7 linked regions of the Nothobranchius furzeri genome follow. The protein of the gene in region 1 interacts with the protein of each later gene in a biochemical or structural test. Links are inferred from orthologs where the notes say so. Each region holds a gene or a part of one and is shown on either strand. Other genes may lie near its edges. The genes, in order: snta1, gda, kcna4, abcc4, adrb1, adra1d and gucy1a2.

The links.
Region 2: the proteins of snta1 (region 1) and gda interact in a test that uses a peptide from one of them, tested with the Homo sapiens proteins (2 studies listed by BioGRID and IntAct). The link is inferred for Nothobranchius furzeri from reciprocal best matches to the Homo sapiens genes SNTA1 and GDA.
Region 3: the proteins of snta1 (region 1) and kcna4 interact in a test that uses a peptide from one of them, tested with the Homo sapiens proteins (2 studies listed by BioGRID and IntAct). The link is inferred for Nothobranchius furzeri from reciprocal best matches to the Homo sapiens genes SNTA1 and KCNA4.
Region 4: the proteins of snta1 (region 1) and abcc4 form a complex in vitro, tested with the Homo sapiens proteins (2 studies listed by BioGRID and IntAct, with this or other methods). The link is inferred for Nothobranchius furzeri from reciprocal best matches to the Homo sapiens genes SNTA1 and ABCC4.
Region 5: the proteins of snta1 (region 1) and adrb1 interact in a test that uses a peptide from one of them, tested with the Homo sapiens proteins (2 studies listed by BioGRID and IntAct). The link is inferred for Nothobranchius furzeri from reciprocal best matches to the Homo sapiens genes SNTA1 and ADRB1.
Region 6: the proteins of snta1 (region 1) and adra1d interact in a test that uses a peptide from one of them, tested with the Homo sapiens proteins (2 studies listed by BioGRID and IntAct). The link is inferred for Nothobranchius furzeri from reciprocal best matches to the Homo sapiens genes SNTA1 and ADRA1D.
Region 7: the proteins of snta1 (region 1) and gucy1a2 interact in a test that uses a peptide from one of them, tested with the Homo sapiens proteins (3 studies listed by BioGRID and IntAct, with this or other methods). The link is inferred for Nothobranchius furzeri from reciprocal best matches to the Homo sapiens genes SNTA1 and GUCY1A2.

What each region holds. Positions count from the first base shown.
Region 1 is NC_091743.1:60,389,355-60,392,854, reverse strand, and holds part of snta1 (alpha-1-syntrophin), read right to left. Parts: intron 249-3,500; coding exon 63-248; intron 1-62. UniProt on the Homo sapiens protein: Adapter protein that binds to and probably organizes the subcellular localization of a variety of membrane proteins. May link various receptors to the actin cytoskeleton and the extracellular matrix via the dystrophin glycoprotein complex.
Region 2 is NC_091757.1:40,758,581-40,762,683, forward strand, and holds the start of gda (guanine deaminase), read right to left. Parts: upstream 2,801-4,103; 5' UTR 2,744-2,800; coding exon 2,615-2,743; intron 2,066-2,614; coding exon 1,977-2,065; intron 1,850-1,976; coding exon 1,678-1,849; intron 1,364-1,677; coding exon 1,276-1,363; intron 1-1,275. UniProt on the Homo sapiens protein: Catalyzes the hydrolytic deamination of guanine, producing xanthine and ammonia.
Region 3 is NC_091749.1:47,038,238-47,042,374, reverse strand, and holds kcna4 (potassium voltage-gated channel subfamily A member 1), read left to right. Parts: upstream 1-1,337; 5' UTR 1,338-1,525; coding exon 1,526-3,595; 3' UTR 3,596-3,742; downstream 3,743-4,137. UniProt on the Homo sapiens protein: Voltage-gated potassium channel that mediates transmembrane potassium transport in excitable membranes. Forms tetrameric potassium-selective channels through which potassium ions pass in accordance with their electrochemical gradient.
Region 4 is NC_091754.1:57,249,940-57,253,439, reverse strand, and holds part of abcc4 (ATP-binding cassette sub-family C member 4), read right to left. Parts: intron 1,757-3,500; coding exon 1,636-1,756; intron 1,554-1,635; coding exon 1,329-1,553; intron 1,255-1,328; coding exon 1,165-1,254; intron 1-1,164. UniProt on the Homo sapiens protein: ATP-dependent transporter of the ATP-binding cassette (ABC) family that actively extrudes physiological compounds and xenobiotics from cells.
Region 5 is NC_091756.1:38,265,707-38,269,930, forward strand, and holds adrb1 (beta-1 adrenergic receptor), read right to left. Parts: upstream 2,801-4,224; 5' UTR 2,093-2,800; coding exon 725-2,092; 3' UTR 269-724; downstream 1-268. UniProt on the Homo sapiens protein: Beta-adrenergic receptors mediate the catecholamine-induced activation of adenylate cyclase through the action of G proteins. This receptor binds epinephrine and norepinephrine with approximately equal affinity.
Region 6 is NC_091746.1:78,324,893-78,329,122, forward strand, and holds the start of adra1d (alpha-1A adrenergic receptor), read right to left. Parts: upstream 2,801-4,230; 5' UTR 2,631-2,800; coding exon 1,679-2,630; intron 1-1,678. UniProt on the Homo sapiens protein: This alpha-adrenergic receptor mediates its effect through the influx of extracellular calcium.
Region 7 is NC_091753.1:35,474,315-35,478,355, forward strand, and holds the start of gucy1a2 (guanylate cyclase soluble subunit alpha-2), read right to left. Parts: upstream 2,801-4,041; 5' UTR 1-2,800. UniProt on the Homo sapiens protein: Has guanylyl cyclase on binding to the beta-1 subunit. Isoform 2 acts as a negative regulator of guanylyl cyclase activity as it forms non-functional heterodimers with the beta subunits.

The sequences.
Region 1 (3,500 bases):
TATTAGAAGCAGAGCCACCAAGTTCATCCAGTTTGTTTCTCTCGGAATGAAAAATATCTTACCTTCAAGAATGACTTCTTTGCCAGTTTTTTTTAGCGCTTGCACAGCCTCATCGTGTGTGGCCTCCCGTAAATCATTACTGTTGACAGACAATATGGCATCGCCAACATAAAGCGCCTCAGTCTGGTCAGCAGCCAGGCCTTTAAAAATTTTGGAGATGAGGATGGGCATCTTGTTTTCCTTTCCTCCTGTAGGGCCAAAAAAGGAAAAGGAAAAAAAAACAGGTTTGTTTCAGTGGTTATTTAATTGCTGCGGTTATTTAACAGTGTCAGAATTTCTCACCTAATCATACTTTTTTTTTACCTTTACCTTCACACTGCTCTCCTTCATATGCACTGCAGTTAAAGGTTCAATTAAAGAGACACAGACAGCAGCAATTACTCTTCTGTAGTAATTTCTAGAGGTTTCTGTTGCATCCTCTCCCTCCCTTTAAATCATTAAATGAAGGTCAGAGAGTGAGTTAATGTTTCTGCGGTTTGCTAAGGGCTTCCACTCTGCACAAAATGCCATCAGTTAAGCAATTCAAGGTATTAAAAATACAAATTTGTTAAAAAAAATCAAAAACCATCTAACCAAGTTGTACCTTTGGGGGTTTTTCCTTTGATTTACCTTCATGGATCTCATTTTATTAGGATACTTTTTAAATGAGAAATATTTACTGTTGATTCTCTGTGTGGGTTTTCATTCAGCACTTCCACTTATTCTTTTGTTCTGAAAATGTTCTCATTTATGTTATGATTACACATCAGCCAGTGCTGATCTTTTTTTATAATTTAATAAAGTTGAGTTTTATTTAATTCTATGTAAACATTGACGATGAATGAATAAATGCCCTGTGAGTCATTCTCTGAGAAAGAAACACTCTCATGTTTCAGAAAGTAGAAGGAAAGCTTTATCCTCATTCCGCAGTGGTTTCTCCTCCTGTTCCCTCCATAAGTGGTTTTTATAAACACCGTGGATCTAACCCTGCTAATTTACGTCCACTAACTCCAGCTGTTTCTGTAGTTTCTGATTCCACCACCTCACTCAGCATGGCTCTATTAAATACCAGCTCTGTTAACAATAAGTCCTTCCTTCTCAATGATTTAATTCTCTCTAAAAACCTGGATTTTCTGTTTTTGACTGAAGTTTAGCAGCAAACTTCTGATTATTCTGGTCTGATTGAACTCTGCCCGAGTGGTTATTCTTTTCTTAGCCAGCCCTGGGGTTCTAGTCATGGTGGAGGCCTAGCTGTTGTTTTCAGAGACCATCTTCCATGTAGCTCTACAACCTCTGATCACTTTGCTTCCTTTGAACTGCAGCTGATTAAAGTCGGGCATAAAGATCTGTTCTACTGTGCTGTGGTCTATCGTCAACCTGGTCCAAACAGTTCTTTCCTTTAGGAGTTTAGTGACTTTCTAGCCTCCACTGTGAAGTTGTCCAGACTGGTGATTGTGGGTGACTTTAACATCCACGTTGATGATCCTTCAGACCAATTTGCTATGAATTTCTCCAGCCTTATGGACTCCTTCAGCTTTACCCAGCATGTTTCTAGCCCCACACACACCAGGGGGAACACTGGACCTTGTTTTTACACTGGGTCTAAATGCTGACAGTGTTTGTCCTGAGGACGTTTATATTTCAGATTACCATTGCATTTCCTAACTCTTCAGTTTCTGCATCCCCACCTCCTGCTCGCCGTATGGTTAGTTCTCGTTTTCTTAATGAGAGCACAGCTAAAATTTTTTCTGCTGCTTTTGATCCACCCTGTTCTTCTGATAACGACCCAGATTCCTTAACTTCTCAGTTAAACAAGCACTGCCTCTCTATTCTGGACAATATCTGTCCTGTCGGAACCAGATCAGTTCCTGTAGTGAACCCTACTCCCTGGTTTAATGACAGCCTTCGCAGCCTGAAGTGCCAATGCAGAAAAATTGAGCGCTTGTGAAAGAAAACCCATCTCCACGTCCATCTGCTGCACCTAAAGGATCTTCTGACATCCTTTAACTCTGCAGTCAGAGATGCTAGGGTTTCCTATTTTTCCAACCTGGTGTCCCAGAGCAAAGGGAACCCCAAGGTGCTGTTTAACACCATCAGCAGCATTGTCTCTCCTGCCAAACCTACAGCCTCCATCCACTCTGTTGCAGACTGTGAGAACTTTCTGTCTTTCTTTGTGGACAAAGTCAATAAGGTTAGATCGAGCATCTCTCCTTCAGCCTTATTGCTGCCTCTCCCGACTCCAACCAGGCCCATCATCCTAGATAGCTTTGCTCCGGTTTCTTTGCCTGAGTTAACCAAACTAGTTAACTCTATGAAGACCTCTGCATGCCCCCTCGACAACTTACCCTCATCTTTGTTTAAAAGTGCTTTTCTGTCCATCGGTCCCAGCGTGCTCTCTATAATTAATGCTTCTCTGGTCTCTGGTCAGGTCCCTGCTTACTTTAAGAATGCTGTAATCCACCCGCTTCTTAAAAAACCGAGTCTCAACCCCTCTCTCCACAGCAGCTTCAGACCCATCTCTAAACTTCCGTTCATCTCTAAGATCTTGGAAAAGGTTGTGGCTAAACAACTCACAGCTGCTCTTGATGAACATAACATCTATGATAGCGTCCAGTCAGGTTTTCGTAGAGCTCATTCTACCGAAACAGCTCTTCTTAGGGTCTCTAATGACCTTCTGACTCTCAGTGATGCAGGGGACTGTTCTGTTCTGGTCCTGCTGGACCTGACTGCAGCCTTTGACACTGTTGACCATCACCTGCTACTGGAGAGGCTGAGAGACTGGGTAGGACTCGTTCCGGTCCTAGAGATGCCGCAGGCACACAGGTGGAATTTGTTTGCGTCTGCAGATTCTTAAGGAATCTCGTAGCATCAGATTGTTCTGCAGGTGTCGTTTGTTGTGTCGGAGCAACTCAGCGTGACAGAAATTGCTTTGTTGGTTAAAGAGAGTGTGGGCGGCCGTCCCAACCTTCTCTAGAACTCACTCGCAAATGACGAGAGTTCTGTTTTAAAAGATGGCTATTATCATTTGTAACGAATCAGGTTTTGACATGTAGAAGGAAGATTTAACAAACCCTCAGAAACATGCCTCTCTGAAGATAGAAAGTTCTGGTGTTATGGGAAAAGATCATGTGAGTGCAGTTACCTTTAACATAGTTACTGTGACCTGTGTGAGCTGACTAAGTGCACATGATTCTTGTCATAGTTACGCATTACTGATTATCACAATTATTAACCAAAGAATAATAATTCATTTCAGTAATTAAACACAGTTATAATGAACCTTGATGGTTAGCAGTAAAGAGAGTTTATTTAAATGATTCTTTTAAATCTTTAAATGTCCTTGTCTTGCTGGAATGAATAGCAGTCAGATAAGCAGACAGCTGCATAGATTAAAGGTGTGGTAGCAGACTTTAAGTCTCCTGCGAAGGACTATATTGCAGATTGGAGTCGTAGCCAGGGTA
Region 2 (4,103 bases), on another chromosome or scaffold:
GGGTGACATGAGCATTTCATTTATGTTTGTTTACAACTTTATTCATTTATAGGAAGGATAACTGACCCATAGCAAACCAGATTACAGGTTTGCTGCTGCATTTCTTGTCATTTTCTGTTTGAGCTTGTCTTTAGTTGCATTTATAGCAGGTCTATGGTGGGGTTATGTGGACTTATTTGTATACTTCTGTAGATAATCATGACAAACTGTAAAACAATGTTGGAAAATTACACAGTCAAATGTTTCAAATGCAGGTTTATAGGAAATAAACAGCTTAACCTTGATGTCAGAAACAAAAACAATTATGATTTCAATAAAGCTGCCAATAAACTTCCCTTTTGGTATGTAAATTATTAACTCATGACAGTACTTCTCTACCAACAGCTGTTTTTAAGTTAGCTTATTGTTTTGTTGACACAGTCTGAATCATAAATTGGATAAATAATCCACCTCGTCTTAAGTACCCGATAGGCCATCAAACAGCTGACATCAGCTGTGGACTTGTTGTGTTTTTAATAAACCATGTAATGAGCAGGCTACTGGATGTCTGGCAGTACAAAGTTAAGGGTTCAGTGACCACGATTACATAAAATGACCGAGTGAGGCTGCAAAACCTCATGTACGATTCCGCGTTTTCACCGTTACTCATTTATGTGAGCCTGCGTTCGGCGTTATGCAACAAGACAGTGAGATGATAAGAACAAGGCATAAAGGTAAAAGGCTGCTCTGCTTTTCAGCACATTTCTGCTGAGTCCAGAGGAACAGTTGGTAAAAATAAAATAAAGCTCAAATATCTGATATGTTCCTCTTTCAGAATCAAGCCAAACATGTGACGGCTTGATCACATTTTTATCTGCTGATCTAAAGGATTTCGGGCATGACATCATCAATTTCCCTCTGGGATTAATAAAGTATTTTTTGAATTGAATTGAATAATCCCATGAATAGAAAGAGCATTTTTGTGTTAAGTCAGCTAAAGAGGATAGATTTTCTTGTTCTGCAAGATGAGAAGTTATGCAAAAAAAAAAAAAACATCCAAAACAATCAACTTGATTTTAATGGAAAATGTATGTTTAGCTAAAAAAAAAGAAAAGGTGGGGTATAGATGCTGCAGTCATGCAAATTAGGAGAAAAGTCAGCTTTCTGCTGTGAATCAATCCTGAATCATGAGCTCAAATATGCTGTTTAACGAAATGTTATTCTTGTTTTCTGCATTGAAAGGCTGATTTGAATTACAGTGTTTCCCTGTGCATGTGTGCGTGTGCAACTTCGTACGTGCAATCCTCCCCAGCAGAAGAGAAGAATCCGTGTGAATAGTAGCAAAGTAACAGGCTGTAGTTGTTCCATTTCTTAGGGTTCTTTTCTGTAAAACACAAGCTTACATTACAGGAAGACCACTTCATTTCAAACTTTAACCCTCCCACTGTCTTTATGGGTGACCCGCGAGGAAAGTTGACCATTGAGCAGGATTGATGGTTTATCCCTTGAGGTCCATGTGGCAGGGGTGAGGTGGTGCTCACTCCTCCCCCCTGCCACATGGACCCAAGGGATAAACCATCAACCATGCTCAATGGCCACCTTTCCTCGTGGGGTCACACCCATTAAGACAGTGGGAGGGTTAAACCAATGGTGTCACTAAATTGTGAACTTGGGGTAAAAATTCTGCATCCTGCTCACCACTACTTGTGTGTAGACGTTATGGGCAAACTGTAAGTCCTTGAAACGGGACTCCACAGGAAAGGTGTAGGTGTTGAGCCACTGCAGCAAAGGCATGTCTAGGGCTGTGCCAGCATAGCTGTACTGGGAGGCATGAATGTGTGTGTCCACCATCCCAGGCATGAAGAACTCACTGTAACACAGCAAAAAAACAAAAACAAAAAAAAAAGGTGTGTAAATGTGTTTATTTGTCTCATAAGGATTTAATTAAGTTAATCTCTGACTTGACCCGTCTAGTGTGTCATAATTCATTCTCTTACTGATCCTCCAGTTGGATGACTTTAGATGGACTGAATCCAAAGGTCTGAGACAAATCCTGTAACTCTCCTCCTTTGTCAATAAAAGCAATCTGATGACAGAAAGAGGTAATTAGATGTATTTATAACATGTGTCAAGCTTTTAACCAGAAAACCTCACCCTCTTCCTGTATTGATATTTACCAAAAAGTTCCTGTATTTCTGCATTCTGTTATAATTTTATTCAATAGGTTTATTTTACAACACCTAACAAAAATGTAAGAAGGTTTTTTTTTTGTCTAAAGTGGATATATATAAATGTCACAAGGACTGTCACATATAAAGAAAATCATATATATAAATTAAAACATTTCTTTTTATGTTTTATGTTAAATAATAACACTAACCTGTTTGTCTGGGTTACATAATGAATAAATTGTTTTTCTTTAGTAAAGAATAGTTTCACGGAAATTGCTGAATGAGAATTTATTATAATAAAAGCGCAAATGATCAAGTCACCGGGAAACAACTCAAGATAAAATATTATAAGTTTATAACTTTTCATTGCCTTCGTTTTATCAGATCATTTATTCAGTTGTCAATTTGAAAAAGAAAACATAAACTGTAAATAAACCCGATCAAATTAGAGGAGTTTGTCAAACCTTTCCTCGGGTGTCCACTCCCAGGAGCGCATCTTCTAGGATCTGGAGCGGTGTCTGAGGCGTCGAGTGGACAAATGTCCCCCTGTAGACAAACGCAACAGCGGAGCAGGACCTGACGGAGGAGTCCATTACTACAGCAGTGTGATATGTTGCGGTGAGATACCTGCTGCAATAAAACGCGGCTTTTATCTTCCTGATCACCGTCCACTAGAGGGCGCCTCCACCTGACCGCAGAGCCGGTACGCAGCCAATCAGATTAGAGGATGGGTGAGGTGTGTGTGTGTGTGTGTGTGTGTGTGTGCGCGCGCGAGCAGAAAAGGTACGCCAAGTTCACAGATGAAATGAAAACAGCTTAAAACCAAAACACAGCTTTACACTAATCTTCATGTTGTATCAAAAAACATGTTCATTTTTATTTTTAAGGCCCATTAATTTTTTTTGTTTATGAAATAAGCAGTTTTTATTTCCAGAACTTATTTACAAACTCACGAGTTAACAAGAAAACATTAATGACTGAAATTACAAGATTATTATTAAGCATCATGTGTAAAAACACATGATGTTTCAGTCATGAGTGTTTCAAAGTGATGAGAACCTCCATGACTAACACACGCCACGATGATGAAAAAAAACGGATAAAGTTCGTTCTTGATTTTATCAGGATCACATGACAGATGAAAACATGAATTCTTTAAGATGACATCATACAAGAAAATAAACATTTTATGGACTCAGGTCAGGATGAGAAAAAAGGCTGTCAGAACAACTGAAATAAGGCTTAATAACATGGAAAATAAAGAAATAATGTTATTACTTAACATTTATTTATAATTTAATATAATCCTGTGGTGAAATTGTGATATTTTCTTTTGTTTTTAATATGCTTTTAGATTAATGTAATGATGCTAAATTGGTGATTTTGATGTTTAATATTGTTGTGTTTCAAAACACCGAGGTGTTATCGTTTTTTTTTTTAGATTTAACTAATTAAAAAATATATTGCAACAAATAAGCCCAGTACAAAGGGATATGTACCCTACAGGAATCTATCGTTTTACTACCCAAAAGTGTTCAAAGCTTTTACTAGTCAGAATTGTACTTTCACTTTAAAATTATATTAATAATGTAAACACGCACGCACGCACACACACACCAATAACCAAATGAAAAATAAAACAGAATAATTTTTGGTTTTATGACCATGACATGGATTAAAGCTTATTTCTGTTTATGAATGAAACAGTAACATTTATGGATGTGGCATGCCTGAAACATGAGATAATTATAAATCTAGTTTTAAAAATTATTTGTATTAGCTAATGCTAATAAAACAACTTTATAGCAAGTTTTTTTTTAATTTTATTCGGCAATTATATAACATTAAAACCGTAATAAAAGAATAAAACCATGTCTTGACATATGTACATTCACCTGAAGGATTATTAGAAACGCCTGTTCAACTTCTCCTTAATGCAATTATCTAATCAAC
Region 3 (4,137 bases), on another chromosome or scaffold:
GTTGAGGAAAAAAAGTCAGTTTGGCACCATGGAGGCATGCTGAAGGGCAGATAATTGTGGATGAGAGACTGCAGCAGGTACGCAGTACCGGCTGCGTCCACTGGGGGAGGACCGAGCGCCGCCTGCGCGCTGCAGTACACGACACACACACACACACACACACACACACACACACACACACACACACACACACACACACACACACACACACACACACACACACAATGGGAGGGATACAGGAGATAGGTAGAGCTAAAGCGGCAGACAGACAGATGTGTGATGCTCAGACTGAGGCCGTTCCTTTCCGCCCGAACCAAGGTAAACTTTTACCCACCCTCGTTTTCTTCTGCTCGCGGTCGCGTGGAGCCATCGTAGATGCCAACTCGCTGCGTGAACACCTGATTCCCCAGAAGCGGTGCCGCAGAAATTGAGGCTCAAGTGCCAACAGATCCTGTTGAATTGAGACAACACGTCGACATGCACGCAGCCGGAAAAAGTGCCCTCCTCAGAGTGCGTCAGAGCACGGATGCATATGCTGGATGTGGATATGGTCGCCCGTTGGAGACGGAGACGGATTTGTGATTATCACGCCTCACAATCAAGACGAAGGTTTGAGCGCAGAAGAAAATCTGTATCCTCGCCTCCTCATCATCTTCCAACAAATGTGTTTTTAGGAGGGCTGAGGCTCTTTTGGCCCTTTACGGATGTAAGTATGGATGTCAGGATGAAATAATGGTGCTTAGTGAGAGGATTTCGTGCGAAACGTGTTTTGTTAATGCCGTCCAAGCATTAATATTAATAATAATAATAATAATAATAATAATAATAATAATAATAATAATAATAATAATAAGCGTGTGAAGTTTCGTAATATGCACAGCGATCATTAATATTAACACGTCCCTTTCTCTCGTGTTGTTGTCTAAATCCTATCCTCTCCTTTTCTCGCAGCTTCTGAGAGGAAAAGTCATTCGGATTCATCGGAGCTCCAGAATAAAGCGGAGATCCATCCAAATGAAACACAAATATAGATCTCACCTCATAAAATGGCAACCACGGGTGACCACGGAGGATTAAAGGACGCGTTTGAGCGCAAACCCTCGGTCGTGGGGGAATGAGCCACCTGATGGCCACCAGAGAAACGGAGGAGAGACTGTTTTGGTGTCGCTTGTTGACTCGGTGATTTATGAACACATAAAGCGGCGCTGCAAGTTTGACAGAGCGTCTGCGTAACAGGCTATGCCACTGGCCCTTGGATTTGTATTATCCTTATGTTTATATTTTGCTTCTAATGATGTCATAAAATCTTGGGTGCTCGAGCCACGACCATTATCTTCTATCATGTAAGAAGCTACCCAATATGGACCTTTCTGAGGAGTGTTTGTTGTTCTCACTTTCTCTTATTCCCGGGAACGGTTGATGCCTCGTGCCCTCGCGTCTCTGCGCGCGCCGAACTGCAACTTTTCTCCCCTGCTCTGCATCCACACCTTGTCGTGGCGCTTACTGCGCCGCTGATCGACTGAAAATGGAATTTGCGATGGTGGGTGCGGACGGAGGGTGCAACAGTCACCTGCCTTACGGATATGCCCAAGCTCGCGCACGGGAAAGGGAGCGCGAGAGGGAGCGCCAGGCTGCCCAGTCGCGAGCGGCGGCTGCAGCGGCCGCGGCCGAAGGATGCTCTGGTGCGGAGGGAGGAGGAGGAGGAGGAGGAGGTGGTGGAGGCGGTGGTGTAGGGGGGTCCACCTCCACCGCCTCCTCGAGCGCTCATCTCCTTAACAATCGCCAGCATCAGTCTCGCGCCGCCTCCTCCTCCGCGAACATCAGCAGCAGCGCCGCCTCGCGCCCCTCCTCCTCCTCCTCCCAGCATCAGCAGGAACCCGAGCAGCAGCACAGAGTTCTCAGAGAGCGGAAAAAGCAGCGCGGCGTCGGACGGTGGAGGCGCAACCGGAGCACTCTCGGCGGGGACCTGCGCCACTCGGAGCTGGCGCTGCTCGGATCCGAGGAGGACATCATGATAGAGGAGGAGGAGGAGGAGGCCGAGGGAGCGGAGGAAGAGGAGGAGGAAGAAGGGGAGGCGGCAGAGGGGGTTCGAGGCAGCAAAAGGTCGAGTTTTCTGTGCAACATGGATGATGAGGAGACGGTGTCGATCACCGACCGGCGCCCTCAGTCCGGCTACGAGAACGTTTACAGCGAGTGCGGCTGCTGCGAGCGGGTGGTCATCAACGTGTCGGGGCTGAAGTTTGAAACTCAGCTCAAGACTCTCACTCAGTTCCCAGACACCTTGCTGGGAGACCCCGACAAGCGCATCAGGTACTTCGACCCGCTGAGGAACGAATACTTCTTCGATCGAAACCGGCCGAGCTTCGATGCCATCCTGTACTACTACCAGTCAGGGGGGCGCTTAAAAAGACCCGTGAACGTGCCGTTTGACATCTTCTCAGAGGAGGTGAAGTTTTACGAACTCGGCGAGGAGGCGATCCTCAAGTTTCGGGAAGATGAGGGTTTTGTGAAAGAGGAGGAAAAGCCTCTGCCGGAGGACGAGTTCAAGCGCCAGATCTGGCTGCTGTTCGAGTATCCGGAGAGCTCGAGTCCTGCCCGGGGCATCGCGGTGGTGTCCGTCCTGGTCATCGTCATCTCTATTGTCATTTTCTGCCTGGAGACGCTGCCAGAGTTCAGGGATGAAAAAGAGTACCTGCAGCCACGACACAACTCTTCTCAGCCGGACCACGGCTTCACACCCTTCAACGACCCGTTCTTCATCGTGGAGACGGTCTGCATCATCTGGTTCTCCTTTGAGATTATAGTGCGCTTCTTTGCAAGTCCGAGCAAAACAGCTTTCTTTAAAAACATTATGAACACGATAGACATTGTATCCATTTTGCCTTACTTCATAACTCTTGGCACGGATCTGGCGCAGCACCAGGGCAACGGGCAGCACACCATGAGCTTCGCCATCCTGAGAATAATCCGCCTGGTTCGGGTGTTCCGCATCTTCAAGCTGTCCAGACACTCCAAGGGGCTGCAGATCCTGGGTCACACGCTGCGCGCCAGCATGAGGGAGCTGGCTCTGCTCATCTTCTTCCTGGTCATCGGCGTAATCCTGTTCTCCAGCGCGGTGTACTTCGCTGAGGCGGACGAACCCACCTCTCAGTTCACGAGCATCCCCGACGCGTTCTGGTGGGCCGTGGTTACCATGACGACGGTTGGCTACGGTGACATGAAGCCCATCACTGTTGGTGGGAAGATAGTTGGTTCGCTGTGCGCGATCGCGGGCGTGTTAACCATCGCGCTGCCGGTGCCTGTCATAGTGTCCAATTTTAACTACTTTTACCACCGAGAGACGGATAACGACGACCAGCCGCCCGCCGTGGTGGAGAGCATGCCCCCGGGATGCCCTTATTTCCCTGACTTTCTAAGAAAATTCAAAGGTTCACCCTCTGGCTCATCGCTGGGTGACAAAGCGGAGTACATGGAGATGGAGGAAGGGGTGACGGAGTCGCTGTGCGGGCTGGACAAGAGCCCCAGTAAAGGAAACGGCACAGACATAAGCAGGAAAAACAGTACTAACTCTAAATCCATTCAGACTGACGTGTGATTACAGTAGTTTATTATTATTAGTGGTATTGTTTTGTTTTCCAAAGAAGAAAAGCATCTTGTAGAGACACTTTCTGCTCAACAGCAGCGGAATCCCCTCCCCAACCCTCCCCAAACACAGGCTTTACGCACGCGTCAGAGTGCACACAGACACACACAGATTTACGCACACACATACACTCACACATAAACACGAAACTAATTGGCAAGCTCAAAAGTTTTCTCTTGACACAATCATAATCTATAATTTATCTAATTTATTGGTAAATATATTAATTTATTCTGTGCGGGCTTCCAAATCTGACAGATCTAAATTAGAAACAGGCTATGCATTCGCACTTTATGAGTTTCATCTGTCACACCAGAGGGTTAGGGACGATCTTTTTGCTGTTATGCAATACAGTTTAAAACATGTTTGCACTAATGTAGAATTTGCGCTGGGTTTGGCAGATTTCTATGTAGAGACAGAAACTGTAGGCCATGCAGGCAACACGGTAGGCACCTTCTGCTCAGCTGGAACACGAATGAGGATTTTAACACTCA
Region 4 (3,500 bases), on another chromosome or scaffold:
GACAAGCGCCGCTGCGATCTGAGATGCGCAGAGCTGCCGCTGGGGAGAACCGGGTGGAAAGGTTTCCATCCCAGAGCTCCACAAGCCGGCAGCCCGCGCAGCAGACAGAAGCTGTGATCAGACAGAGATGCGCCGAGCTGCGGGGAGGGGAGAAGAGCTCAACAAGCCGATAGCCGGAACCCAGCTCCACCAACATGTTATATTTCAACCCATTTTCTAAAGTGCAGCATTATGTTAAATGCACTGGGTTTAACCCTATTACATTTAAATTTCATGGTTAAACAGTACATGTTAAAATCTAAGCTCAGCTCGGCAGTGACCTAAAATACATAAATATAATTTTACTTACCGAAAAAAATGAAGTGGAGACTCCTTGGATGCTCTATTAGTGCAATTAATGCCACAGCAAGTCATTTTATCCAACAATTGCACAAATAATATCCAAAAAAAGAATACACAAACACAGAGACTCAAAATCCCGGAACAGTTTCCAGGCCAGACCGAGGCTCTACTGAGGCCTTTCCACGGAGCTAACTGTGGTCACGTGGGTCTGATGCTCATTAATTATACAGAATTTTAGGCTTTTAATACACTTAAACAGAAGAGTGAGAAAAAAATCACCCCCCTCAGAGTTGTCATGAGTGTAAACTAGATCATTTAAACCAAAAACATGTTTTGGTACCAGGCTGTAAACATGTTTATTTCTGCTGTGAAATTGGTATTTTTAACATGGGAGTCTATGAGGATTTGCTCGCTTCTGACACCAGCCCCTAGCAAATGTCCCACATGTGGGACAAATAAAGGAGGATGGTATCTTAAATCTACACTCGCTGCTTCCACCGTAACACCTTTAAAACCAGGGAAACCCCAGGAGGGCACTCACCAACCAAATACTATCCAGATGGTTTCCTCTCACCCGTGGACATTTTTTCCTTTTAGACATGTACTGTTCAACTGTTACAGTACATTGTTCAAACAGCAGCCAGCTCCGGACTCCGACTGGTTCTTTTTGATAAATACCGTTATCATTTTTTAATAGAAGTGATCGTTTTTGTTTTGTCATCAAAAATTCATTTTTCATGAAAAAATAAACAAAAACATTTGGTCAACAAAATGAACACGGGTATACTCGAGCAGAATAGAGGACTCTGCGGGTTGCCGTACCTCATCAAACCTGTTGACGTCGTTAGAGAGCAGGTTGACGATCTGGCCTGTGGTGGTCTTTCCCATGGCTGAGCTGCTCAGGCTCAGAGCCTTTGGGAAAGAGAAGGGAGAATTAGCAGTGCAAAGGCATGCATGCATGCATGCACACGCACACACACACACACCTTCTTGTAGATCATGTGACACATGGCCACTCTGATCTTCATGCCCGCCCTCTGAACATTGTAGAAGTAGAGATGATGGAGCACCGCCAGGCCCATGGTGCAGAGGGCCATCCCAGCGGCGTAGCCTAGCGTCTCATGCAGAGCCGTTTGATCATCTGGGTCATAACTCTCAAAGTACTGAATCATCTGACCCAGGAAGACTGGCTGGACCACTTTAATGGTCTCCTGTTGTAAGAGGAGGAGAAGGTGGTCAGGGCATGAAAATCTCCACTCAGAACATTAAAGGTGATCCAGCAACAGCTCCAACCTCTATCAGAGTAAAGATTCCCAGCACACCGTAGGACTTCCAGTAACAGCGGATAATGACTTTCCCCAGCGCCGGTGCTCGCATCTCTTTGGCAGCATTCTGGACCTCATGATCCCAGTATCTGGTTTGGAGAAAAATGTCCTTTCCTCAGGTTATGTGGGACATGTGGTGAGTCAGGACTTGCCCGTGACGCGGCAAACGCATAATTACAGAAGGATTCCCTGTGAGAGGAGTTGGATCCAGGCAAGTCCTTGGGCCCTGTGGCCATGGATGTGGACATTAGCTCCTTTCACTATAAGATTTTATTCTCTTCAACTTAGACCTTGTTGTTGTTATTTATACACTTGATGTTGACTTTAATTTTAAAAATTATTTGTTGTCTTTCTTTTTTTTGTAAAGAAATTTGACAAGATTTTAATGGAATCATTATTTTATTTAAACTTTTGATAGCTAGATATGTGTTTCCTTTTGAATCACACCAAATACAAGCTTGGGTCTCAGGAGGTTACACACATCAGCGCTTCTGCTAAGCACTTGTTCCACTTGACCTGTAAGAAGGGTTTGATCGGGTTTTACTGACATGGGCTTAAAGACGGGTCTACAGTATCCTCGTGGCAACGGTTATCCCAGGATTCAATGCGGGCTGAACGAGTGAATTTTGTTGTAGCATTAATGGTGAATGGAGCAGGGGAGGATCACAGTGTTGCTACGTTAATATCTGGAGGTCAAAGAGGACAAAGCTAAAGCAGTTGGGTTGTCAAGACTCTTCGTTTGCATGTTTTCTTCTTTTGTCAAAAATAAGAAAAATCCTAATAAACTAGCTAGCATGCCGGGTCCTTCGTGTTTTTACACAAAGTTTAGTCTTATCTTCTGTTTAGCACCGTCACAGTTGCTAGGCAACGGGACATATGCCGAGGACGTAGGAATAAATATGAAGGCTAGACGAAGCGGTCGAGGAAGAACCCAACATATGTGGGCCGGTCCATAGAAGGATGCTGCCTGTGAATTGGAACACAGCCATATGTGTTGGTGGCTAAAGCCTGACTCACTTGCACATTCTCCTGCAATGCCCTGGTCCTGTAGAATGAGCCCTGGCATTTTTACTGTGATTGCCTGTTTTTCTGTAAAATCACAGAAAAAGAGAGATGCTCGGGTCGAGCAGGCTGCTTCATGCGCGTTCACGCTCAGGCATAGCTCGTAGCATTTGCTATCCGTAGCTTTAGCAGCAGAGAGAGAGGCAGTGCCACTTTGTCGCTGTTCCTAACGCCTAGTGACAAAGCTAGCTACATTTCTGAGGACCCTTAGCTACTTTCTGTAGAACTTTCTTCTAGATATTTCCTGCAAATTAGCAACAAAATAGCCATTTTCACTTTGAACCGTTCTTTGGTTTGACGTTGTTTCAGCTGTCGTCAAGGATATAAATGTTACAGATACATTGAGTGTTACTGGTGTGTAGCTCACTTTGTAAGACGTCTGACTCCCATGCAGAAGACCTGGGTTTGATTCTGGGTGTGAACATTTTAGAGTTTCTTTTTTACATTAATGGTATATTTTTTTACAGTAGGATGCCCAAATTTTTATTTGAGACTCGCCGAACGGCATTGAATTCACAGATAAAAAAGATGTGGGTTCAACTTTTATTTTGGAGCAAATTTTCAAGCAAGGGAAGGGAATGATCTGAGCATGCAGGAGGACTGACCCATCATAAACCTTTGTCGGCTGTGCTGAAGAGAAAGGTACAGAACCAAATTATTTAATTAATTAGCTGCGCGTTCTCCTGTCATCTGTCCTCCGGGCCACAGACACACACACACACACACACACATGGAGCTGACTGTCTCAGCTGTTATTTTCGTTAAGGAGTG
Region 5 (4,224 bases), on another chromosome or scaffold:
TATGTAAAAAATAAGAAATTACCATGGAGCAAAAGCCTGTGGATCAGGTTCTAATATAAAACCACTCACAGGAAATACAGCTCGAACAGAACTAAGCAATCAAAGGTTATTTTTATTTTCACAGACGTCAAAGCACCACCTTAAAACAGCTGGTAAAGCCGGAGACAGACAGAGGCTCGAGATTCCTCATTCCACACCACAAAATGCGCAATTATTGACCCCTCACTTGGTTATGTTGTAAAAGAACGCACCGAATAAATAAAAACACTTATTTTACATTATGTTTAATATAAACAAGTACCTGCCGTATAAATTGCACCGGCCTGTGAGGTAATTAAGAGCTTATTGGCATCCACGTTATGCGCGTTTTGGAGCGCCTCAGAGATCATTTTAGGAACACATTGTTTCCCATTATGAACAAAGGTATCAGCAAAACGTGATTCTTTTAATATTATAGCCACCTGGTCGACAGATCTGGAGTAAAAAGTCGCATCTGCAGTAATAAATCACCTTAAGGCTCGTGCGCTTTTGTGGAAAAAGCGCTTTGTGTTCTGTGAGCGCAAACCTTCGATTTTGGATTTATCGCATCGATGAATTAAGACCAAGATCTTTAACTGATTGTACAGACAACTCCACTTACAGCGAATGGTTTGGATTTTACGCGCATCCTTTCCTGTTTGTATATATTTTTAACTCTCCATCTGGATGGTTTTATTTATTTTCTTCACAGTTGTGATTCTGAGTGGGACAGTTTCGCTGTCCCCAACAGGCTGCTGTCGCTGTTGTCCAGGACGGCGCAGTCCGACCACATCTCCAAGGTCCCGGGCTCCAGCGCGGACACGAACCCGCCGGAACAGCGGGACAGGTCGCAGGAGCTGATGTGCAGCCTGCGGTCGGCTTGTCTCGGGCAGCACAGCAGCCTCTTGAAAGCCTTCCTGAAGTCCGGACTCCGGCAGTAGATGATTGGGTTAAAGGCCGAGTTCACGTACCCCAACCAGTTCAGGAACACGAAGAGGTTCTTGTCCACCACCTCTGCGCTGAACACCCGCACCACGTTGACTATGAAGAAGGGCAGCCAGCACAGAGTGAAAGTCCCCATGATGATGCCCAGCGTCTTGAGCGCCTTCTGCTCCCTCAGCGCCAGGATCTTGGACGGCCTCTTCTTGCACTTGGAGGTGAGTCCAGTCAGGGTGTTGTGAAACCTGCCCTCGCACTTGTCGATCTTCCTCAGCTGCTGCTTGGCCTCTCTGTACACCCGTGCGTAAACGAAGATCATGACCAGGAGAGGAATGTAAAAAGATATGATGGATGAGGAGATGGCGTACGCCCGGTTGGTGACAAAGTCGCAGCACTCCGGGTTCTCGTAGCAGGCTGTGTCCACGTTGTCGCGGGACCAGTGCATCAGGATGGGCAGGAAGGAGACCAGCGCAGAGATGGCCCACACCACGCACACCACCGCCTTTGCGCGAGCCTTGGTTAACAAGCTCTGGTAGCGGAAAGGTGAGGTGATGGCCACATACCTGTCTATGGCGATGACGCACAGGGTCTCGATGCTGGCGGTGACGCACAGCACGTCCACGGAGATCCAGAACTCACAGAAAAAGGAGCCGTAGAGCCAGGAGCCGCGCACCTCAAGCGCGGCGCCAAATGGCACCACCAGCAGCCCCATGATGAGGTCCGCGCTCGCCAGCGACACGATGAACACGTTGGTGAGCGTCTGCAGCCTCTGCGTCTTGGCTATGGCCACGATCACGAGGATATTCCCGAACACGATGGACACGACGATCAGACCCATCACCAGGCTCATCCCCGCCATCCACTGCTCCGACGCAGGTGAAGCGGAGCCCGGCGCCTCGCTCCCCGTGCCATTGTGGAGGTTCACCGGTGAGAACGCACCACCGTTCCCCATGACGGGCTGCTGCTCTGTGAGCTGGACCAGCTCGGTCTCATCCAGGCAGCGCTGTGCGGCGTTCACGCAGCTCTCATCCCATCGCGCGCCGACTCCACGGAGTGTTTTAGCTTCTCTCTCTGGATCTGCGCTCGAAACCGCGCCGGCCTGGACAGCGAGGTAGGCGGTGACATCACCGCTCATCACGGCCAATCAGAAAGTCCAGGGGACCCGCGGTCCCAGCGGTGAGGATCAGGAAACAAGCTGCACCTGAGAAAAGCAGACTTCCAGTCTTATTTTGCATGCACTGGACAGTTACTGAACATTCGCGATATTCTGATGAGAAATTGACCCATGAATTTCTTATCCTGCAAAACCCCACACTGTGGGAAAACGGTGCACCAAATATGGGAAACATCACAATGGTCCAGAGGGAATTCCCTCCTGTCACCACTTGCTATCACGTCCAGAACTTGTTTTTCTCCTTATATTTTTATCTCTGAGAATACATTCCTTAAACATGAGACTTGACCCAACACAGACCTGCAGACTGGCCTCACAGCTGCATAAAGAAGCGTTTGGCTCACAACCAGATTTTATTAAATGCATCAATGTAAAGACTCACCACTGTCCCACTTGAGTTTGTTTTAAATAAACTGGTCACTCTGCACCTGCTCAGCTGTTTAATTAATGTTAATGAGAGAATATGTGAACTACCTGGATCCGTCCTGTCTTGTATCATTGCTGCAGCGTGGTACAATGGTGTGGGGGAGATGTTCTTGTCCCACTCTGGACCCCCAGTGCCACCTGAGCCTGGTTTAAACACCACAGACTACCATGTCCATCCATGACCACGTGGACCCTAACCCATGCTACACTTTCAGCAGGATAAAGCACCATGTCACGAAGATCATCTGGTTTCATGACCATGAGTTCACTGGACTCCAACCATGTCCACAGTCAGATCTCAGTCCAGAACATGTGGGATGTGGTGGAACAGGAGACTCCCATCATGCAGCTGTGTGATGCTGTCATGTCAATATGGACCATAACCTTTGAGCTCTGAGTGATTGTACACCTTAGTCCACATCAGATGTGTAAATTTCCACCGGCCTCATGACAAACAGTCTGCACAAAAATGGAAAACAACAAAACTTTGTTTGTTTTTATGTGGACGATTTACGCTCCCGCCCATGAACCCAGCGACCCCACAGCTGAGGCTGCAACACAACCCGACCCAACACAACGAAGAGAAGTCAACATTCCCCCTTGACCTTTATGAGCAGCAGGATGCTTTTATTTTTTTCTTTTTTGACCTTGAAGTGTGGAGGCTGAAGCAAAGCCTTTTGATTATGATGTTTTTCCCTGCTGGCTTTTTGGTGGAACAATTAAGCGTCACACATTTGGAACCAGTAAAGGGTTAAGTCATTTCCTGTTCTCAGTGTTTTCCCTTCATTTGCACCATTAGAGGCAGAAACTTCTGATGAAGCAGAGAAAATAACCCAAGAACGGTACTCATGCATCACCGAGAGGAATATTAAATATTTCTCTTTGTGATGAAGTTGTTATGCATGGGTAACACCAACTTCTGATTCTGGAAAAACATTTAAACACACAGTTTTTACATACATGTGAGCTGAGCACAGAATAAATTAAGCTTAGAATGAAGTAATAACAGCTCTATTCTTGACTGTTTGAAATATTATGTAGTCAGCTGAAAGATTTTTAAGTGAAACACCCTAAAAATATTTCAATCTTATGTTTTGTTTTCTCAAATGATTCTGGTGTTTGTGACGGAGTCAGAGAAAAGGGCTGAAAGTTCCTTCAACATATTGTTAATTTTTCCTTGAATAAATGCAAAGAGCCACATTTTACGTTTATTATGTTAATGTATTTAGCAGACGCTTTTATCCAAAGCGACTTACAGTTTATAACCTATAGGGCATGTTGTGATCTGTGGGGGAAACCGGACCCGGAGGAAACCCACGCATGCATGGGGAGAACACACAACTCCACGCAGAAAGGCCGCTATGACTATACAGGTGATTTTATCTTCTTATAAACATGTAAGACTCTTATTATTTTGATTTGTTAAATTTAAGTATTTATTTATTTATTTTTTTTTACAAAAAGCAGAATCAACGGATGTAACACTAAAGCATGCAAACACTAATAGACTTCCTAAAATGAGTGGATAACCAGAATTGTTTTATTACCCAGCTGTAACTTCCAAATCGCAGCAAAGTTCCCATGTTTCCAAAATCCTGCAGAATCCCAATCGTTCCTTTTGAGTATCGGAGTGTGAGAATAGCCATGAAACATCTTCCATTGTATGA
Region 6 (4,230 bases), on another chromosome or scaffold:
ATAAAGTTGTTTAAATGTTTTAGTGTATTTGGCACAACTTGTAAAGTAGAATTTTGTCCTGTGGTGACTAACTATAACAATCAAGCGTTGCTTTTCTCATCTCAAGATCTTTACAAATGTTTTATTACTGTGCAATATAAGTAAAACATACATTACTGACTAATACACACATCTTAGCAGCCCACTTAGGGAGAATGAGATTCAGCTGCTGATGGAGGCTAATTAAAAATGCCATTTTTCCTAACATAAACTGAAGTAGTTCTCATTTTGCACAGAAAATGTAAAAGATGTAAGCATGAGAGGAGATATGTGATGTCAGTAACCTTAAATGTTTTAGATTTTCTTTTTTATGAGAGGGATCTCTGTATATTTCGATAATGGAAATTAAGAGTTGATAACATTGGCATATCGGATAGAAGTAAACAAGCCAGTATCGAGCATTCCTAAAAGAACCAAGTAATGCAGTTAGAAGAAATACACAGAATGAACATATAAAAGATGTTTAAAGAGCATCCTTAAAAAATACTTGTTTATTTTTAGTAATGTACAAAATACAAAGCAAGTGACCCTAAACATATAGCCACAGTCATTAAGAACTATCTTCAGAATCAAGAAGAACAAGACGTCCCGGAAGTGTTGGTCTGGCCCCCACAGAGCCCTGATCTCAACATCATGGAGTGTTTCTAGGACTGCATGAAGAAACTGAAGGATGTGAGGATGCCTACATCCACTGAAGATCTGTGATTAGTCCCCCAAGGTGTATGGAACAACCTACCAGCCCAGTTCCTTCAAAAACTGTGAATGAGGCTTTTTCCGGTGCCACACCTCAACCTGCGTCGGGAGAAGCGATTCGGTCTGGACTCATTTTTCATTTCATTTCATTTCAAGGATTTGTTTTCTCCCTACTTTCCCTCTACTTTTTGGTCCCTGCTTCTCTGTGGTTCCAAGGGCCGAGTCGGGCCTTGGAACCGTTTGCCGTTGATTGCTGGGGGCGGTTTCACTGGTTGTTCTGTAGCTTTATTTCCTGGTTCAGAGTCAACCATAAAGCTGAGCAGAATGTTCACCATCACCACCATTTTTTTGTGTGTTGATTTGGGTTTCTGTGTAGCATAAAGATCACCTCACACTTACTGATTACTTTTGTCTCAAGTAAAGTTTGTGCCCTGCGGTGGGCTCACAATGTCAAAATGAACAATGATTTGATTATTCAATTTGATTTCATTCTACATCAACACGAATGTGTTGGTTGTCTATAGTAAATATAGTAAATGGCCTGTTTTTGACATAGTGCTTTCTAGAGTCCTGGAACCCCCCAAGGCACTTTACAACACAATCAGTCGTTCACCCATTCACACACAAATTCACACCCTGGTGGTGATGAGCTGCATTGTAGGCACAGCTGCCCTGGGGCTCACTGACAGAGGCAAGCGAGGTCCCTCCACAATCACCAGCAGGCAATTGATAATTAAATTTACAACAATGCGCTTGAATGATTCTAAATATAAATATTGAACAGCATATGTTGATTCTAAGCACATATGCGTTCTTTTATATACCTCTTAGACTTTAGTCAAAACGTTTAGATTTTAATTAGAACCTTTACTTTCACAATCGGCGCCCCATAGATGGTCGCAAAGATTTCCATTTTATGGAAAAACCCGTGAAACTATGAACATACCTAATGGCAAGAAGAAGAAGAAGGGCAGCCAGCAGAGGATGAACATCCCCACCACGATGGCGAGAGTTTTAGCAGCCTTTTTCTCCCGGGAGAACTTCATGAGCCGCACTGAGAGCGAACTTCGGAATGGGTGGTTTTTGCTGCTCTTGGAGCTGGCCGGACGCGCGTCCTCCAGCACGCTGCGGCAGTGAATCCGGAGCACAACTTCCACAGACTTAGTCCTCTCCCGTTTGACGCCCGCTTCCAGGCTCTTCGTGGTCCTGCGGGCCACCACGTACACCCGAAAGTACATGATGAGGATAACCATGAGCGGGAGGTAAAAGGAGAAGAGCGAGGAGAAGAGCGCGTATCCGGGCTCCTCTGTGATCCTGCAGATGCTCTCGTCCACAGGCGGGGGTTCCTTCCATCCCAGCAGCGGTCCCACAGAGATCACCACGGATGAGACCCACACCAGCACCAGAATAGCCACTGCCCTTCTCTCTGTCATGATGCTCGGGTACTTGAGGCAGTATTTCACCCCGATGTAGCGGTCGATGGAGATGATGCAGAGGCTGAGGATGGAGGCGGTGCAGCAGAGCACGTCCACAGCTGCCCAGATGTTGCAGAACACCCTGCCGAACACCCAGCAGCCCAGCACCTCTAAAGACGCGGAAAAGGGCAGCACGATGATGCTCAGCAGCAGGTCCGCCATGGCCAGGTTAATGATGAAGAAGTTGGTGATGTTCTGCAGTTGCTTGTTGCACACCACGGACAGGATGACCAAAATATTCCCAACGATCGCCACCAGGATGAAAGCAGAGAGGAAGATCCCGACGCCGACAGCCTGCGAGTCCACGGTGAAGTTCTGACATGTGATGTTGTCACGTTGAAACAAGCGGTCCAGAACAGAGTCGTTGAACGCTTCAGGAGACAGCCCATAGTTGCTTTCATTCCTCAAATTAGAGTCTGTCATTTTGCGCCATAAAGAGAACTTTAGAGGAAGTTTTATTCGCAGGAAAACTGGCTGATGGGCGCTGCGCTCTGCCTCGCTCCGCGTTGGTCTCAGAAACGCAACCTGGCGGCTTTCATCAGAATAAACAGCTAACAAAACATAAAAGAATTCAACTCAAAACAAATAATAACAAAAACATCCACCCGCACGCGCCTTCAGATCCGTCCTTTTCCTGTAAATTTGTTTTAAATCCTGGCTTAGTGGATTAATGAACAGCCCCAACCGGAAGCGCATTTAGGTCCATTATAGCGCGTTTTTCTTCTGCATGGTGACATCCTTTGGAACAACTCTGATCACAGCCAGAGCTGCTACAGCAGGTCTGAACCTCCAGCTCCACCCACATTCATGTGGCGCTTGTTGCGTTCGCAGCCTCCCAAACAACAGGAGCTTCATATGGCCAGTCATTTTTTTATGCTCTGCCTTTTTTCTGAGGTATATTTGAATAGTATTTATCATACATTCATTGCAAATATCACAAAAAGACAAAGAAGGGCAAACAATGAATCTGGGCTCCATCCTTGAAATCTCAGGAGACAGAATCACTCATATCCTCCAACCTACCCAACAAGTCTGCTCTGACATCCAGGGATATAGCTGGAGTGCCCAGACGCAGATGTGGCTGCCATCTCCAGGTTTTGTGTGCTCTAAGGACGGGCCTGTCCGTCCCCCCACCCCCACCCCCACCCCCCCCCCCCCCCCGCTTACGTGATGGACAATTCATCACGCTACACCTTCATTCCCTTTTACAGTCTCCCCAGTCCCCGGTCCTTATTCTGTGTTTTCCCCTTTCAAAGATTTTGACTTTTTGGATTCACGTGTTTTGTTTATTTCTCCCAGCCTTTTAGTTTCAGTTGGCATGTTTTTGTTTTATTGTGTTCTATTCTGTTTTCCCCAGTTAAGTCTTAATTTTTACTTTAGCTTCTATTAGGTTTGTCAGTTTATCAATATTTATCTCTCGATTTCTCCTGGATTCCCTGCATTAGTTTCACTTGCATCTTTAGTTGCTTAGTTTCTCGATTATTTTCTATTTTCTGTTTTATTAGTTCACTTCATTAATTATTATTTTTGGGCTTCAGTTCTCAGAGCATTTATCCTCGTTTAGCTTCCCTGTTTAGTTTATTTCTTTCAGCCTTTAGTTTAGTATCATTCTGTTCTAGTTGTTGTTTTATCGTTTTGTGTTGTTATTTACATCTTGTGTTGTGTTTTGCCTCCTATTTCTCAGTTAATTAGTCACACCTGTTGGCCCTTTTCATTTGCAATCATCTCACCTGTTTCCATTGTCTTTGTTTGCACTTCCCTGTCTATTTAAGCCCAGCTCAGTCACATGTTCTGCTTCAGACCTTGCTGTTTTAATCAAAGACTTTTATTTTGAAGTATTAGTCACTTATCTTTTGGGAGGATCAACCACTTGAGTGGGAAAGGTTCTTTGACCTCATGGCTGCTTGCCAGATCACTCTACAACTGCATCATAACCTCACAAGTCCCTTACTGTCGCTGCCTTTCATAAAAACAGATTACTCAGCTCTTTACTTTTACGTTTAAGGACAAAAAAACATGTATA
Region 7 (4,041 bases), on another chromosome or scaffold:
AAAATGAAATGTGCTTAAATGCTATATGCCAAAGGTACATTTGCCTCCTGTTTACCACTGCTTATACAACTCAGAAATACATGTTCAGTAAGCATTTTTTCCAAGTTCTATGTATAATTTGTCTTAGTTGTAGCTCCAAAACATACTTCCATGTACTTCTTTTATTAACGGTCTCTGATTTTTCCAAGTAAGGTGAACTAATCAGATTTTACAGTATATGACAGGGGTCATAAGCAAAACTGGCCATTTAATGAAATTTCATTTAAAAACAATTAAAAATAAGTTATGTGGAATGATTGGACAAATATTCCTTATGAAATAATGCTTGTATCTCACAGAAAATTTAATTAAATAAAAATCCAGCTGAATGTGATGATAGTTAAACGTCATGGTCAACAGGCCATGGGGACATGATGCCTGATGTGAGCATACATGAGGACAAAAAATGGCTCCAAGGGCAGTTAATGGAGCTTGCAGCGGTAGTACAAGCTCACTGGCCTCCATCAGAGGACAGAATGATGCTCTTGTCTGGTACTAATAACAGCCATGACCTTGACCTCCATTGGCACAGCATGTCTGTTAATTATGGAGCCCGATGGGACCGACAGAGACACTGAAACAGACATGATGCATCATGCAAGTGCATGCATGTGGGCACGCACACATCCCTATGTTAATTTCCTGAAGGTTCTTGTTAATTTATTTGACTCTCAGGAGCAACATGACCCCAATCCACTGCACAGACTTTCTCTCTATCTAACAAACGCCCACACACGCTCTTCCCTCACACACATTGTGCACAAGCTCTGCCTCTCTTTCCTTATCTGGTTGCTTGCACTTACCAATCAGTCCGCAGCCCTACGGTCATAATGTGGGCATTTAATAAAGCCACTGCTACAATGAAACAAATTATGTTCCAAAGAAGATAAACCTTCGAGCAGAGGGGCTGCCTGGAGCTGGCCGCCAGCCATTTATAGCCAAGCGCAGACAGGCCACAAGATATAAAGGGCTGTTCTTGGTGTTTTAAAGTAATTTCATTCAGTAGCTACATATATCATCGAGATGACATCAAATTTTAATAACTTATCTTGGAAATTATTTGACAGTTGACTCAGAAACTAAAAATAAAGAACTGATGGTCCTGGTGTGATATTACACATATGAATTTAAATGTGAAAGTCCCTTAACCAAGTTATGTCAACTGGTTTTGGTTGTTTAAAGGTGCAATAAGTAAGAAGTTTATGGTGAAATAACCACTTAACCTTCTAATGACTCTATCCAGTTGGAAGGAAGGTTACATTGAAATAGATGTCCTTCTCATCGACTGGTGGTTGCCAGTTTTTCTAACAAGAGCTGAAGAGAAATGTAGCCTTTATATTTTTTTTTACCTTCTGTCCCGCCTCCATACTTCCTGCTCCGAGAGCCAGTTTTAGCATCTGTAATTTGACACCAGCCAGGAAAAGGCGGCAGCATTGTGGAAAGAACGTTGGCCAATCAAAGGAGGGGCCCAGAAGCTATTTTTTGTAAACCTACAAAGGCATGGTATTCTTATTGTTTTACTCTATTATCGGGTGAAGTAGGCTAGAGGCTAACATTGAGCTAACAATGCTAACAGTGAACTAGAAAAAAATTGCTGGCTACTCAAGCAACTTTTTCCCAGCAATTCCAGCAACAACTTACCAGCAACTCAATGTTATAGTGAAATGTTTTTATCTACTTATCAAGCCAATGTGTATGACTAGTCTCTGCTCATCTAGAATCTTCTAGTGCTGATCTGCAAGGCCGGATTATGGGCAAACTGGGCACAGGCCCAGGGGCCCACAGCTACAAAGGGCCCACGCAAGCAGCAGTCTTTTTTTTTTCTTGTGCAGCAGTCTTAACGTTGGAGAAAAATGTTGACAAGTAATGAAAATTGCGCCCACATTTTCTAAGTTAACACAATTTATTTTAACAACGGTAGTTTTTGCATCTTAACTGTTCCTGCTTCAGCACTCTCCCCCTGCACAGCGGCCGCAAACTCACTGATGCGCCTGCAGCCTCTCAGAGTTCCTGCTGCTCTAAACATTGAAAGGGTCATTTAATTTTCTGTTCCTCACTTCTGGTGTCTGTTTGTTGCAACAGATTACATTTTACAGCAGTCTGATCATCATTTAAATACATAAACCATCACCTGGCTTCTAGTCCACGCTATCACCATTATTTTAATTGGTGTGTGTGTGTTTTCCACTTCAAACACTGGTCTAACCAACCAGACCAGTGTGTCCAGTAACATATTAATGTTACAACTAAACAGTTTCACTTCATGTAGGCTAGGAACATTTCACCTGCCGTGGCCCGACTGCTTCTGCTCCACATAAACTTTGTGCATGATCAAATGTCTCAACAGGTGCTTTCTGAGCTGAAGAGGTTATTCTGCCTCAGACAGACTGGATGTGTCATGCGTGCCCATATTGGAGACGGGAACAAGCGCTATTCAGCCAAAATTTCATAATCAGAGAACATTTTTCCAGGTGACACATCCCTCAGAGAGACAGCATTTCCAGACCGCTTCAGTGGAAGGAAATCTTACCGCATCACTGTGGTTCTGCGCTGCACTACAAACCCCTCTACAGATCTTCAGCTCATTGTCCGTGTTCGCTCCCAGCCGCGCTGAGCAGTGTCCAGTGTAAAGCACTGAAGTTCTGATGAGAATCTTTTCTTGATTTATTTAGTTACCCCCGAGATGTGCGTAACGATTAAAATGTCAGCTCATCTGTGTGCGCATCAGTGTGCATTGAGGTAATTCTTTCATAACAACCAACATTTTTGAGTTTATCCGTCAAAATAAACAGTCAAATGGAAATATCTGTAACCTGCCATTTAACAGTTTTGCCTTCTTGTGAAGATTTTTTCAAAGAGAAACTATTAAACTTGATTAACCCCAGAGCCATGCGCACTGCGCTGTACTCCGTGACTGTAAATGAGGGGGGAAAACGATTTAATCGGATCTTTTTCTTACCTTTTCACCATGGTTGAATGTAAAAATTTCATTGAGTACAAACTTTAGTTGCACCAATCTAATGAGACAGAGCCCGGATTTGTATTCTGAACAGTTTAAACATGTTTAAAACGGAGACATGCGTGACGCGTCTAAAATTCACACCTGCTCAGCTATTATGGAAATTAAACTAACAAGATGAATAACATAAAATTATTTTAGGCACAGACAACATCCCCCACACTTTTGAAAAGCTTGCAACATGCCTGCCACCAGTTACAAATTGTGAAGGGGAATGATTTTCACAAATGGCAAGAATAAAAAATGAACTGAGAACAACACAAACTCAACAGCGCCTCAATGCACCATCACTGATGGCAATTGAATCTCAGCTTGTCAGGAATCTGGACTTTGATGACATTGTAAATTAATTTACTAATATAAAGGCCAGAAAGCAGTTTTTCTGAAGGCGAGAGGAGACCAACAAGGAAACAAAAAGAGGAAGGAGCCAGGAGTCAAGAGGAGGAAGGAGACAGGAGATAAGATGAGGAAGGAAGCAGGAGACAAGAGGAGGAAGGAAACAGGAGACAAGAGGAGGAAGGAAACAGGAGACAAGAGACAAGAGGAGGAAGGAGACAGAAGACAAGAGAAGGAAGGAGGCATGAGACAAGAGGAGGAAGGAGACATAAGACAAGAGAAGGAAGGAGGCATGAGACAAGAGGAGGAAGGAGACAGGAGACAAGAGAAGGAAGGAGGCATGAGACAAGAGGAGGAAGGAGACAGGAGACAAGAGGAGGAAGGAGACAGGAGACAAGAGGAGGAAGGAGACGGGAGACAAGACGAGGAAGGAGAAGGGAGACAAGACGAGGAAGGAAACAGGAAACAAGACGAGGAAGGAAACAGGAGACAAGACGAGGAAGGAAACAGGAGACAAGAGGAGGAAGGAGACAGGAGACAAGAGGAGGAAGGAAAAAGGAGACAAGGGGAGGAAGGAAACAGGAGACAAGGGGAGGAAGGAGACAGAAGACAAGACGAGGAAAGAAACGGGAGACAAGAGTAAGGAG